Rattus norvegicus: one gene and its partner. The protein of the gene in region 1 interacts with the protein of each later gene in a pairwise test. Links are inferred from orthologs where the notes say so. Each region holds a gene or a part of one and is shown on either strand. Other genes may lie near its edges.

The links.
Region 2: the proteins of Fchsd2 (region 1) and Abcf3 interact in binary tests that used the Homo sapiens proteins (3 or more experiments, as listed by UniProt). The two-hybrid records come from large-scale screens. The link is inferred for Rattus norvegicus from reciprocal best matches to the Homo sapiens genes FCHSD2 and ABCF3.

What each region holds. Positions count from the first base shown.
Region 1 is NC_086019.1:165,087,222-165,091,034, reverse strand, and holds part of Fchsd2 (F-BAR and double SH3 domains protein 2), read right to left. Parts: intron 3,766-3,813; coding exon 3,636-3,765; intron 3,546-3,635; coding exon 3,463-3,545; intron 1-3,462. UniProt on the Homo sapiens protein: Adapter protein that plays a role in endocytosis via clathrin-coated pits. Contributes to the internalization of cell surface receptors, such as integrin ITGB1 and transferrin receptor.
Region 2 is NC_086029.1:93,854,011-93,857,923, reverse strand, and holds the start of Abcf3 (ATP-binding cassette sub-family F member 3), read left to right. Parts: upstream 1-1,328; 5' UTR 1,329-1,415; coding exon 1,416-1,488; intron 1,489-1,711; coding exon 1,712-1,859; intron 1,860-1,980; coding exon 1,981-2,060; intron 2,061-2,491; coding exon 2,492-2,538; intron 2,539-2,750; coding exon 2,751-2,848; intron 2,849-2,950; coding exon 2,951-3,073; intron 3,074-3,204; coding exon 3,205-3,471; intron 3,472-3,913.

The DNA of each region.
Region 1 (3,813 bases):
AAATAATATAGAATATCTTGGTGTGACTCTATCAAGCAAATGAAAAGACCTGTATGACAAGAAATTCAAGTCCCTAAAGAGAGAAACTGAGGAAGATATGAGAAGATGGAAAGATCTCCTATGCTCCTGGATCAGTAGGACTGATATAATGAAAATAGCCATCTTACCAAAAGCAATCTACAGATTCCCATAAAATGCAATTCCCACAAAAATTCCAACGTAATTCTTTACAGACCTTAAGGGAGCAATTCTCAACTTCATATGGAAAAACAACAACAACAACAACAAAAACAACAACAACAACAACAACAACAACACCCCACCCAGGATAGTTAAAACAATCCTGAGAAAGAAAAGAACTTCTGGCAGTATTACCATCCCTGACATCAAGCTATACTACAGAGCAATAGTGATAAAAATTACATGGTATTAGTATAAGAGCAGGCAGGTTGATGAATGGAATCCAGTCAGAGACCCTGAAACAAATCCACACACCTATGGACACTTGACTTTTGAACAAAGGCAAAACCTTAGATGGAAAAGAGAAAGCATCTTCCACAAATGGTGCTGATCTAACTGGATGTCTCCATGTAGAAGAATGAACATAGATCCATATTTATACCATGGAGAAAACAAGTCCAAGTGGATCGAAGACCTAAACATAAACTCTAGCAGAAAAGAAAGTGGGGAATAGCCTTGAACACATTGGTACAGGAGACAACTTCCTGAACAGAACATCAATGGCTTAGGCTCTAACATTAGCAATTGATAAAAGGGACCTCATGAAACCGAAAAACTTTTGTAAGGCAAGGGCATTGTCAGTAAGACAAAATGGCAACCTACAGATTAGGGAAAGATCTTCACCAACCCTATACCCAACAGAGGGCTAATATCCAAAATATATAAAGAACTCCAGAAATTAGACAACAAACCAAACAACCCAATTATAAAGTGGGGTACAGAGCTAAACAGAGAATTCTCAATAGGGAAATCTCATATGGCAGAGAAACACTTAAATGTTCAGCATCCTTAGTCATCAGGGAAATGCAAATCAAAACGACTATGAGATTGATTCCATCTTGCACCTATTAGAAAGGCTAGGATCAAAAACTCAAGTGACAGCACATGTTGTCAAAGATGTGGAGCAAGGGGAGCACTCCTCTATTGCTGGTGGGAGTACAAACTTGTATGACCACCCTGGAAATCAAACTGGTGGTTTCTCAGAAAACTGGAAATAGTTCTACCTCAAGACCCAGCTATACCACTCCTAAGCATATACCCAAAAGATGCCCCACTACACCACAGGGACATTTGTTCACCTATGTTCATAGCAGCTTTATTCGTAATAGTCAGAAACTGGAAACAGCCTAGATGTCCCTCAACTGAAGAATGGATACAGGAACTGTGGTATATCTACATAACAGGTTACTCAGCTATTAAAAACAAAGACATCATGAATTTTACAGGCAAATGGATGGAACCTGAGAATATCATCCTGAGTGAGGTAACCCAGAGCCAGAAAGACATGCGTGGTATGTTCTCAGTTATCAGTGGACATTAGCCATGAAATGCAGGATAACCATGCTACAATCCACAGACCCAAAGAAACTGAGTAGTAAGGAGGTCCCAAGGGAAGATGCATGAATCTTACTCAAAAGGGGAAACTAAATAGTCATCAGAGGTGGATGGGAAGAGGGAATGGGTAGAAGAGGAGGGGAACAGATATGGTGATCAGGTACGGGAAGAGAAGGAGGTGGGAGATGGCTGGATTGAGAATGGAAATAGCTGAGGTTATCTCTGGTGACTCTCTGGAAGCCTGGGACAGGAGAGGATACAGGGAGTCTATGGGGCTGACTCTAGCTCAGATCCTATTAGTGGGAGATACTGAGACTGAAGTGGGTACCTCCTGTACTCAGGCAAGTCTTTCAGAGGAGGAAAGAGGACATCAACCTACCCACAAAACCTTCAACTCAAAATCCGTCTTGCTTACAAGATGTGCAGAGATAAAGATGGAGCAGAGACTGAGGGAACAGCCAGCCAATGACTGTCCCAACTTGAGACCCACACAATGAGAGAGCTAACCCGATACTGTTATTAATACGCTGCTATGCTTGCAAACAGGAACTTAGCTTAGGTATATGCTTAACTGTTGGAGAGGCTTGATCCAACATCAGATAGAGGCAGATGAGGAGATCCATAACCAAACATCAGGTGGAGCTTGGGAGTTTTGTGGAAGAGTGGGAGATACAAGTGAGCCAGAGGGGGTCAAGGGCACCACAAGAAGACCTTCAGAGTCAACTAACCTGGGACCATGGGGGCTCAGAGTCTGGGAAACCAACCAAGGAGCATGCAGGAGCTGGACCTAGAGCCCCTACACATTCATAGCAAATGTGCAGCTTGGTTTGAATGTGGGTCCCCTAAGAAGTGGCAGTCTTGGTCTCTGTTCCCTGCCATTGGATCCCCTTCTGATTACCTGGATTGCCTAGTTGGGCCTCAGTAGGAGAGGACATGTCTAGTTCTGCTGGGACCAGATGTCCTAGGGTGAGGCAGTACCCAAGGGAGGGGTTTTTCCCTTCTTGGGGCAATGGGAAAGAGACTTGTAAAGGTGGGACTAGGAAGAGAGGAAGGAGTGGGGGCTGTGACTGGGATGTGAACTGAGTTTAAAAAATGATTTTACTTTATGTGTACGTTTGTCTGTATGCAACCATATGTAATGTGCATCCCTGGCTCCCGAGAAGGGCAGACGAGAGCCTTCCGGACTTCCTGGAATTGGAGTTGCAGACAGTTGTGAGCCACACTGTATGCTGGTGCTGGAAACCAAACTCAGACCCTCTACAATAGCAGCAAGTGCTCTTAACTGCTAAGCCATCTCTCCAACACCTATGATGATGATGATGATGACGATGACGATGACCACGGCGGTGGCAGGGTCTGGCCTAGGATTTGCTATATAGCCTAGAACTCAGAGATTCACCTGCCTTTGCCTCCTGAATGCTGAGATTAAAGGTATACACCACCATATCAGCTCATTTTATAGCCTTTGTTTTCTTTCTTGTTTTCTTTCATTCTTTCTTTCCTTTAAAAAATTTATGTATATACATGCCGAATGCTGCCCCCTTCTCCTGGTAACTTGCCACAGGGTTCCTCCACCATCTTCCTCATCTCTGAGAGGGTGCCTCTCCCATACACCCTTACCTTGGTGTATCAAGTCTCTGTAGGATTAGGCATATCTTGAGGCAAGAAAAGGCAGCCCTCTACTGCATATGTACTGGGAAGCCATGGCTCAACCATTAAAGGCTGGACTCACAACCAAAAATATAGCTTTTCTTTCTTACAGTTCTTTATACTTCCCCAAAGCACTGCATGGCAGATCAATAGCAAAATGGACCATGTGGGCAAAATAAATCATTTTCAGTTTGGAAGAACTATGTAATCCATAACCCTTCAAGGTGGGAGACTTACAGGCCGCAGCTTGCCATACGAGGTGTCAGGAGTCTGTCTTGAGGCCTGTGAGAATCCTGGTGACTCAGCATGAAGGCAGTTTTCTGAGGGAGAGAATCCAAGAGGTTATGATGGGATAGTAAAGATGCCAGTGTAGAAGTAAGTGGTGAGGGGCAGCTGCCCAGAACTCTTACCATTGGCTGAAGGAGACCGGGGGAAGAACTGGGAGCTCCTCTTATCTGGACTGGGGTAAGGGCTGCTGGGAGGCTGGTCATACAGAGGCAGTGGAGGCAGGGATGTGTGAGGCTTGGGGGATGGAGAGACCTGCAGCAAAGGAGGCAGAGTTACTAGGTGGCCTCCTCAAGAGGAGAG
Region 2 (3,913 bases), on another chromosome or scaffold:
TGTCTCTTTAGCCCTAGATGTCCTGGAATTCTGTAGATCAGGGTGTCCTTGAACTCAGAGATCTGCCTTTCTCTGCCTCCTGAGTGCTGGGATTAAGGGTGGGTTCCATCACTGCCTGGCAACCTTGAATTCTTGATCCTTCTATCACTGCCTCCTGAATGTTGGGGTTACTAGCATGCCACCGCGCCCTGTTTTATGAGGTCCTGGGGATCAAACACAAAGCCTCAGGATAAGAGCATTCTACCAACCAAGCTATAACCTCAAGCATGCTGGTTGCTTTTTTTTTTTTTTTTTTTTTTTTTTTTGGTTCTTTTTTTTCCGGAGCTGGGGACCGAACCCAGGGCCTTGCGCTTGGAAGCGCTCTACCACTGAGCTAAATCCCCAACCCCATGCTGATAGCTTTTTAACTTCAAACACCAAGACTGGCAGCATCCCCGTTGCAACAATACTTAAGCCAGATGAATGGGCAGTACAGTGTAGTCAAATGCCTTTAACTCCTGCACTTGGGCGGCAGGCAGGAGGTTCAGTAGTTCTTGGTTAGCTTGGGCTATCTAGGGCGATTGTCTCAAAAATTGTATATAGGGGTGTAATTTGAACGCATTGGAACAAGGTTTGACAATCTTGGGGGGTGGGGGGGCTGTTTTTTACAGACACTGAGATCCAGGGTGTAAGAAAATGTGCTCTGTCTGTAGGCCCAGGATGAACAAGAATTTATAAAGGCTTTCTTGTTCAGGTTTTCTGGAGGTGGGTGAGGTTGTGCCTTGTGGTGGTGGTAGAACGAAACGGCATCATTCTCAGTAACCTGGTTGAACACCTATGAAGTGTGAAGGAACTGAGGACAGGGCAAAGGGGCAAGGGGAAGGTTGGTCCTCACCAAGCTGATTCAACTAGCAGGACTAAATAAAACCGATAGACTGCGGACTGAGTTTCGAGAGCTGGCGTGAGTCAGCAAAATGCCGAGGACTAAAGGACTTGGTGGGCGAGCAGCGGCACGCGCCTGCGGGGAAAGTCTCCAAGCTGCAAAGCAGCTCTCTCCCACGATACCCTGAGTCTAGGCGGGACTCCCCTTGCAGCACCTCCTATGCTCCCCGCTATGATAAACCTTGGGTGACTCTACCACGCCCCTCGATACAACCTACACTTTGCAGACAGCGAAAACCCTTACAGGTGGTTAACGTATACGCAAAACTGGAACTGCGCAGGCGTAGAGCCTGCCACGCCTGCTGGACTCCGCGGCGCTTGCGTCCCGTTCCTCTAGGCCCGCCTCTGGGCTCACGCAGCCTCTGCTTTCTTACGTCATCCGTGCGCATGCTCCTTGGGACGAAGGGTGCGATTTCGGGGTAGGGAGGAAGGGCAAGGAGGCGGTCCTAGGCCTACGTCTCACCACGACTGCGCAGGCTGGATCCCGAGTGAACATGGCGACTTGCGCCGATATCCTGCGGAGCGAGTTCCCAGAAATTGACGGGCAGGTCTTCGACTACGTGACTGGTGAGCGAAACTGAATTAACTGCCTGGGGAGGTCAAAGTGGAGGTCATGGGGGAAGACTGAGGGCAGACAGTACAGCAGACCGCTATCTGGGCTCTCCTCTGCGTGACCTCTTATCTTGAGGGCCAGTGGGGTTTGGAGCCCCGAGTGAGCTGTACAGACACTGAAATTGCTCCTATATCCGTCCTACCCGGTGTCTGTCTTACTCTGCGGTACCCGGCCCAGGTGTTTTGCACAGTGGCAGCGCGGATTTCGAGTCTGTGGATGACCTGGTGGAAGCTGTCGGAGAACTCTTGCAAGAAGTGTCGGGGGACAGCAAGGATGACGCGGGCATTAGGGCAGTCTGTCAGCGCATGTACAACACTCTACGCCTGTAGGTGCCAAGGGAATGGAGTTGATGGGCAAAGGGAGGAGAATGGAGTACAAACAAGGGGGAAGGTCTGAAGGTTGTAAATCTTTTCTCCCAACTGACTCCGTTTTCTCCACCCCCGTAGGGCTGAACCGCAGAACCAGGGAAACAACCAGGTGCTACTGGACGCCCCCATCCAGTTGTCGAAGATAATGGAAAACTATGGTGAGAGTGAGGGGAGATTGAACTAGCTGCTTTCTGCCTTCCAACCCCAGCCACCTCGTCGCAGCGCAGGTCCCTCCATCTCTTCAAGGCTTGTAGGAGCTAGTGGTATTCTTGTGAACATAAAAGCTTGTAGAGAATAGGGGTTGGAGGGCTCTCCAAGCTGTTGTTGGTAATAGGAGGCATAGAGGCCTTGAAGCTAACAGACTTGGTTTTGCCAGTGTTGTGCCTTAACCAACAGCATGGTCTTAAAGGTATATCAGCCTCTGCTTAAATGTGAGGTCCTCTTGTCCTTTATTTACTTCAAGGCAGATAACCGTCTAGTCCAGTGTTATAATATTATCTTTAACACTGTTCCTGGTTCTTGTTAGTCTCTCAAAGTCTTCATCCCCTTCTCTCACGGAGAAGGTGACTGCTTTTCTTATCACTTACAGACTGTGACACCAAGCTTCCAGGACTGCTAAAGAGGGAACAGTCCTCGGTGAGGAGGAGAAGTGGGAAGGGGCTGTGCTGGGTGTGAGAGTTCACCATCTACTGAATAGTGGGTTTATTGAGATTTCTGGTGTGTCTTTGCCTGCATGTTTTCTTGTGTATCATCATGGGTAAGTTTTAGTGTTCGTTTGATGTGATTTCGGGAGTTCCTTTCTGAACCCGTACCCTAGTATAAACTGGCTGTGTTTGGAACTCACTCAGACAGTAAATGCAAAGAAACTAGAGAAGGCCGAAGCTCGACTGAAGGCAAAGCAGGAGAAGCGTTCAGAGAAGGAAACGCTGAAGACCAGCAGCCCCCTGTGAGTTTGGAAGAAGGGGTCTAAGCAGGAAGGAAGCAGGACAGGTTCTGGTATTGAAGGACTTCCAGAAGCCCTTCAAACCGTCCATTTCTCTTTTTAAAGAGTCTTGGAGGAGGCATCAGCTAGCCAGGCAGGCAGCCGAAAAGAGAGTCGGTTGGAATCATCTGGCAAGAACAAGTCCTATGATGTGCGAATTGAGAACTTCGATGTCTCTTTTGGTGACAGGTGAGGGAATGGCTGGTGACAGGATCTTTCTAACTAAAGTAGAACCTGGGAGCAGTGAGACTAAAACAGTGTTAAAGTTCCTTTGCTTCTGTTCCTGGACTATCGTTCATCTCTTCTCAACCACCCCTCAGGGTCCTGCTGGCCGGAGCAGACGTGAACTTGGCATGGGGCCGACGCTACGGGCTAGTGGGACGCAATGGTCTGGGGAAGACGACATTGCTAAAGATGCTGGCCACCCGGAGCTTGCGTGTGCCAGCCCATATTTCCCTACTGCATGTAGAGCAGGAAGTTGCTGGAGATGACACCCCTGCCCTGCAGAGTGTGCTGGAAAGTGACACCATACGAGAGGACCTGCTACGGCAGGAACGGGGACTCAGCCTCAAGATTGCTGCTGGCAGGTGAAGGCTTAAGCCTAGAGGGTACAAGTAGTAACTCCTGTCCTGCTTGGTTTGTGTTAACTCGACACAAGTGAGAGTTATTTGGGAAGAGGCACTTTAATTGAGACGATGCCTTCATAGACCGGCCCAGGGGCAGGCCTGTGTTGCATTTTCTTAATTGGTGATTGATGTGGGAGGACCCAGCTCACTGTAGACACAGTGACATCAGGCTCCTGGTCCCGGGTTCAATAAGAAAGCAGGCTGAGCAAGCAGTAAGCGGCGTTCCTCTGTGGCTCCGTTTCAACTCCTGCCCTGACTTTCCTCAGTGATGGAGTGTGGCCTGAAGTTACAAGCTGGGATGAACCCTTTCCTCCCGACATTGCTTTTTGTCATGTGTCTCTCATCACAACGATAGAAACCCTGACTAAGACTCTGTCCCTTAGATAGTGTCTCCATAATTCAC